2 linked regions of the Tribolium castaneum genome follow. The protein of the gene in region 1 interacts with the protein of each later gene in a biochemical or structural test. Links are inferred from orthologs where the notes say so. Each region holds a gene or a part of one and is shown on either strand. Other genes may lie near its edges.

Region 1 (3,836 bases):
AAAAATGTTGTAACTTCTTAGACTGAGGTTGATAAATAAAAACGTCCTGATTAACCTGTATTTAATGGCAAAATTCCATTTTCTTCAGATTTAAAAAGAACAACGCAACAAGTTCAGAGAATTTCGAGCACTTTTTAAACAGATACTAAGCCAAGTTCATGAAATTTTGCCAAAACAAACCAGCTCTCCATAATTATGAGTGGAAACAATGGTATTTCGGCAAACTTTAAGCTCAATTCTTGGGCATGTCAAGTCATTTAGTTGTAATTTGAGCCAAAAACATAATTTACCAAAATATTTTGGCGACGGAAACCAAAACATTGTCGTGTTAAGACAAAATAACGCTATATCTAATAAAAAGATGTTTTAAAATGTCTAAACAAAAAACACTCTATTATTATATAATTTCAATTTATTCACGAAATTAGTTGAAAAAAATAAAGATACTTTTTGGCTTACTATAACAGAGGACTAACTGAAAGATTAAGCTCGTTCTTGTACCAGAAACTCACTTATTCGGAAAAAAAATTATAAATCGAATAAATCAGCCAAAAAATTGCTGTTTTGGGCCAGAAAAATGCTAATTCAACCTCTTCCAGGCTGTTGAACTCATTTTAAAACAAGTTTTCTTCTAAAAATTTCCACGAAATTGAAAACAGACCAAGAAACCGGTAGATAATATTTTTTTATTCTATTATTCAGAAACTCACTTAATTCAAGAAATTTTGGCGAAATCTGACAGACAATATTCAGTTTAGGTCAGAATAATGATATTTCCGCCAATTCCAAACAATTTAGACAAATTTTCCTCTGAAAATTTCCGATAAATTGAGAGCAATCCCTATGGTATGTGTGTATCGGAGTAATTTATTATTCAAAAAAAAAACTCTGTTCAATATTGAACAGAAAATCTGTTTTAAATAAAACTTATGTAGATAAACACTTTCATTGCACAACAGATGGAAACCGTGATAAAAACTTCCTTGATTTCCGAAAAGTTGGAAATAGAAAGTTCGTAAATTTTGATTATAAAAATAAGAAAGCAAAATTTCGCCTTTTGTGAAACTGTTTAAAACATACAATTAACCGTATTTTTGTGGTATCTTGCCCACTTTTGCACCAGAAACTCACTTAGTTCAAAAAAATTGGCTAAATCTGCCCAATATTTGTTTTAAGTCAAAATAATGATACTTCAGACAATTTAAAAAATTGAACTCATTTTAAAACAAGTTTTCCTCTAATATGCCCAAAAACTTGGAAAACAGTCGCTGTAGTATGTGAGTAATGGATTCATTTATAAGTTTATTACTCAAAAAAAAATAACAGCAAAATATTTTAGGTGAAAATAATACTATTGATGCAAATTTTGAAGCATTAGCTCAATTTTGCACCATAAGCTCAATTAAAAATACTTGCTTTGAGACAGAGTAAGATTATTTCAGCCGCTTCCGAGCAATCTATGTCGTTTTCGAATAAAAAAAACTCCCTGAATTCAAGAGATTGGCAGAAACAAGTTGAAAAATTCATAGCCTTACTATAATAATACTATTACAGCCAATTCCAAATGACTTTGTTTATTTTTGTTTTGAAAACACTTATAAGCCCAAAGATCTCAGATTGGATCACAATTACGCTATTTCATCTTATGCTAACATGTCTTTAAACAAATAAAATTTAAATTTTAAATAAAAACTTATGCAATTAAACTCAAAAGAATCCCGGTAAAATGACATATATTGTAATTTCATAAAAATAATTTCGCTGTTATTTTCAGAACATTAGGAAGCTTACTATACGTATGAAAGCAAAGTTTTATCTGTTTATCTGTTTTGAAAATGTTTCAAAAATACATTTAGCAACGGTGAAATCAGTTGTACGTTTTGTTTTAGTTTAGACATTAATTCATAAATCACTTGCCTCAAACCAAATAAGTATTTAAATCACTGGTTAAAATAGTAAAAAAGTCATCTTTTTTAAACAAATTCCAGAGTAATAATATGATTCTGGCAATAAAATACTACACGTACGTTCCACAATTGAGGTAAGAAATTGGACAAACTGGTAAAAAATTAATAATTTAAAATATTATTTTCAAATCATTACCTGTGACAAGGACTTGGCGTGAATTTTCCTGGATATATATCTCGTGCGAATTTGAAGAAGGGCCGAGGGTCTTGACTGAAATAGCTGATATCAAACATTGCTTGCGGGTCTGGAAGATCTGGAAAATCTATCGCCAGTCGAACGTAAATCCCATCACGTGATCGAAAGTCTGGAATTCCACACGAAACAGACACTCCAGCGCCGGTTAAAACTATTATATTTTGTGCTCCTAAACCAAACTTCCGTCAAAAAACACCACTCATTTATGAATTAAATGACAAACCTTTAACCAATCGAACTACATCGTCCAAAGTATTAACATGTCGCAATTTGTTCCGTCGTGGCGGCTCGGCCAACATGTTTATAATTAATTTCCAGAGAGTTATTTCGTCTACATATTGCGGCACTTGATCCAGATCCACACCCAGATCGCTCAGCAGCGTTCGGGGATTCACGCCGTTTTGCATCTGTTTTTGAATCTGTTGCGGAAAATTATTTATTAGTTATTTATTATACAAGACGATAAAGAGTTTGTGTATTTGCAAAAAAAAAATTACAGTGCTATTAGATTTACTCAACAGAGTTGATAAAGAAATAGTTTAACAGCTACTACAGAAAAAAAAGATTGTTTATGGTAATTATATCGTACCCAAATCATGCTGCCAGCCATTGGTTTCCAATCTTGTCCAGAGAGGTCCGAAAGACCGCTTATTTCGCTAACTGTGGAGGCATTGTCATCGTCGGCTTCGATACTGTCCTGAGATGTGTCCGCTTGATCTGTTCGGGATGGTGTTAGAAATATTTCGGAAAGACTGGATAAACTCTCTGGGACATCGCCGGGGTCAGTGTGAGGTGAGGTCTGGTGTGAAGAAGTTGGAATTGATTCTAACGTGGATGCTTCATAACCGGAATCGCAATCAGGTGATATTCCTATCAAAAAAAAATGACGTTTACAATCCCATCGCTCAATTTTTTTATTTAATTTCGTTCTAAATGCTTTTGTCCGCTTAGTTTTTGTACGTAATGCATGTATTGTCGATTGTTTTACAGTCCCTATTATGAAAAACATGTTGGTTTTTTACTTTTCAGCCCAATATGTTATATCTTTTTTATTTTTAAAAAATGACATTAAAAAAAATAGTTACTGATTGATAATAATTAATAATCCATTTTCGTAAAAAAAAACAAAAAAAATAATGGTTTTTTTCATCCTGAAATGACTTTCAGGCAAAAGTGAGTATTCGATACCATTGTACTTTTTTTTTGGTTGGGATTTTCCAATTTTTACACACTTATAAATAACTTCCGCATGTCTAATCTTCTAGGGGAAAACTAAAATCGAATGAGTTTTACCAATCTCTAATCATATAACTTACTATGTATTTTATTTATCTGGTTTTCTAGCCTTACTAAATCATGAACATACAAAAAATTCTTGATATTCATTTGCTCTCCAATTTAAAAGTCAGGAAAAGTATTAGGTACGGGGTGGATTTGATAGTATTCCATACATTTTAGGGGTAATAGTAAAGCTCAAAAGAAGTTAAAATAACTCAACTTGCCTCATAGTTATAGTTTCTGAGATATAAATAATGCAGCCTCCACTTTAGTATCAAAATACTCGTCAAAAAATGCAATGTAAACGAAGTTTGCGTCTTTTGATTACTTTACTCCGAAATTGCCATGGCTAATAGTCGGTAACATTTGAGAAAATGAAATTCGATAAAGTAAAA
Region 2 (3,156 bases), about 10 Mb from region 1:
CATAGCAAAATCGTACTGTCAGATATTGTATTTTTGCTTTAAGTTCAGCATTTTCCTTTTTGAGAAAATACATTTCTGCTTCAAGAGCCGCATGTGACACCAAGGGTGCTTGCACACCCATAGATTCTAACGGAGCATCTTGAATTATATCTGCTGGTGCTGCAACTACGGCTGTAGACGTCGATGGCACTTCCTCTAAATTCATTGTCGATGGTACTGTTTCTTCCGGTATATCAACACTATTCAAATGATCAAATTGTAAATCAATTTAAAACTAGGATTCACTTTTTACCTTAATGATTCAGCGGAACTAGAACAAGAAGGGAGTCCTTGTTTTTTCATCTTTTTTTTTTCTGGAGATTCCACTTGAAAATAGGCTCTTTTTGCGATATTGTGCAAAAATAATTCAGGACCATTTTCCTTTCTTCCATCCCGAAAATGGCAGCTGCAAACGTAGGCTCCTGGTCCGGGTTCTACATCTCTTCTACATTTAACAATGAAACAAGCAATTAAAAATTAATATCAAAACATCTATTAAAAATTACCTCAACAATTTTTTCCATAGTGCTCGTTCTTTTCCCGACTTAGGAAAACTAAAAAAATGGCATTTATCGCGAGTACTATAGTGTTTGCAATCTGGAGCCCAACACATTCCCATAGTTGTGATGTAAAAACCTACTACACATGAACTATCAAAGTATCGCAACAAAATATTATTCACAAATCATACCTAATGATGTACCACAAAAATGAGATAATGTCTTGGAAAAACAGAATTTTAAAAATTCAAGAACACGAAGATATGGAGAACGATCGGAAAAAACACGATAACAAAAGACACTCACGAAAGAAGCACAGAACTCACAACCCGTACTACTTTCAACCATGTATGTGCCTGAACCCTCTACCCTCGTATACCTGCTATTCATCCCTCGTGATGGGGGAGGGGGACAGAAAACAACCCGTTTATTGGGGTTGCGCCGGTTGCACCCCATGAATTCGTCATTCAGAAGAAATCCAATGTCATTAGTGTGGCAAACCATTTTTCCCTCAGTTTTAAAAGGCCACATAATAATTTACATCAATATGATGTCCAAATTAAGAAAAACTGAATTTTGAAGTTTGAAAAAAGTTAGGTTAGAAAAGGATTTATGTGTTCAACTTACAGAAATATTAGCTCAGTTGCTAAAATCTTTAAGAAACGACATTGCATTTTTCATAGCTATCATTTCTCTGTAAAAGTAATGTTCCTACACTTCTAGCATTAAAGAAATACGAAAAACTTTTAAATGCCCATAAGAAAAGCATTGAAAATGGCGATTGTTTAGCTTTAAGGTGCTGACCTACCTCAAATGTCTACGTCACACTGATAGCGCGTATTCTGATTGTCAGAACCGACATAACCTCTACAAAAAGTTCTCCAAGAAAAATTTGAGGAAATGAGTTATTTGAGTTGTTTTAATTGAAATGTCTTCCGCCTTGGTTCAGAAAGCTTTAGAAATTGTAGATCCTGATTTTAGGAAACAAGCTAAAGGTAAAACCTTGCATCTTTTGTTTTATTTTTTTTTACTTTACATTTTAGTTAAAAAGTCGAAGAATAATACAAAAGATGTGTTCAACTTGATACCCGATAAACTAAAAATAACGAAAAATATTAGTAGAAAAGGACGCAAAGGTATAATCACATGATAAAACTGTGTTGTTGACACCATGTATTTTTTTTCAATTTTAGAAAAAACAGGAGTTTTGTCAACTTCAAAGAAACTAACAGTTTTAGAAGCGAAGAAAACTTTTAAGAGCAAGGACGAGATTTTGAAGGAAAATTTGAAAAAGCTTAAAGAAATCAAAAATGTTTGCACTATTGAACTTGATAAAGAAACTACAGAAAAGGTGCAATCCTTCTTACCATATGAAATGTTTATTTAAATATACTTTGTCTTTAGATAATTCAAAGGGCGGTCACTCGAAGGCCTGTGAAAGAAAAGAAAAAACGCAAGAAGACCCAAACAACTGTCTTCACTGAAGAAGATTTTAAGAAATTTGAAGAGGAATACACAGGGTAAAAATGGCAGTGTCAAATAAGGTTTATGGTATAACAATGCTAGGTTTGAGTGTCTTAAGTATTTTTTATATGTTTTTTATGTTAATAATTGTACCAATTTTGCCCCTTAATGAAGACAATATTTTAAGTTCGCTTTCACAAACACCAATTCTGTTAGTGAGTGGAATTTGTGGCCTGATTTTTTGTGGTGGTTTATCAGTTTTTACTGTTTTTGTAATGATGAAAGGAAAATGGAGACTCTTGTGGACAAACAGAAAATAAATAAAGTACAAATTGTAACTAATTTTCTAATTTACATACCTACCGACTGTGCCAAAAAAAAATTGAGGATACGTTCAAATGAAAAAACAAATAATCACAGAAATCAAATGTATTGGAACATTAATAAATACATAAAACAGTACACTTAATTACTGATAGGGGCTCCGGGAGAGGCTCATACCCCACCAAGACCTAAAAAAATAGTCTATCTACATATTGTTTCGAACACAGAAAACTTACATTTGTCTGCAATGTACTGACCGCTCCGATGTAACGAAAGCTCTCCCTCTACTGCCCCGCGCAATCCTAGTCGATGCCAAAAGCTCCCTACTGAACTTATTATACCCTGTCGGCCCAGTTGGCTGTGCCCCACATGTCTCTAAAGCCACAAAATCATCCACATGTAACGAGGGTGGTCTTGAAGTATTCGGCGGCCTTGAACGGAACAAATCCGACCTCTGCTGAATAGTTCTTGGGAAACCACGCGACCTAACCGGAGTAACTAAAAAACACCATTAAACCAAAACCTAAACTATCATCTCAAAAAATACTGAAAGGTTTCTTCGTTTTCGTCTTCTGGTCGTTATCATGGTTTTCCTTTTCGTTGCTATTATCTGAGGGACAGATTCGACACAGTTTTTCGATTTCTTTAGCGATGTTAAAGTCTTGGGGTAGATACTGACGGGCGATTTCGGCTAGGTCACATGATACATTCTCGTTTTCGGATTCGTCATTCGCCATCGATAGCCAATATCTTATTGTCAGTCTTTCGTCACAAACGTCCGAATTGTTGAAAATGAGCCGACCGGAAAACTGGACGAGGAGAGTTTCCG

Evidence for each region.
Region 2: the proteins of Sirt1 (region 1) and active regulator of SIRT1 form a complex in vitro, tested with the Homo sapiens proteins (2 studies listed by BioGRID and IntAct). The link is inferred for Tribolium castaneum from reciprocal best matches to the Homo sapiens genes SIRT1 and RPS19BP1.

The regions. Positions count from the first base shown.
Region 1 is NC_087394.1:11,919,994-11,923,829, reverse strand, and holds part of Sirt1 (NAD-dependent protein deacetylase sirtuin-1), read right to left. Parts: intron 3,034-3,836; coding exon 2,753-3,033; intron 2,583-2,752; coding exon 2,387-2,582; intron 2,333-2,386; coding exon 2,104-2,332; intron 1-2,103. UniProt on the Homo sapiens protein: NAD-dependent protein deacetylase that links transcriptional regulation directly to intracellular energetics and participates in the coordination of several separated cellular functions such as cell cycle, response to DNA damage, metabolism, apoptosis and autophagy.
Region 2 is NC_087394.1:22,070,467-22,073,622, reverse strand, and holds active regulator of SIRT1, read left to right. Parts: upstream 1-1,382; 5' UTR 1,383-1,467; coding exon 1,468-1,534; intron 1,535-1,582; coding exon 1,583-1,675; intron 1,676-1,732; coding exon 1,733-1,890; intron 1,891-1,943; coding exon 1,944-2,063; 3' UTR 2,064-2,341; downstream 2,342-3,156. Other genes in the region: uncharacterized protein LOC135265385, read right to left, coding at 1-239, 293-484, 546-678, 731-1,070; vir (protein virilizer), read right to left, coding at 2,473-2,515, 2,564-2,825, 2,875-3,156. UniProt on the Homo sapiens protein: Part of the small subunit (SSU) processome, first precursor of the small eukaryotic ribosomal subunit.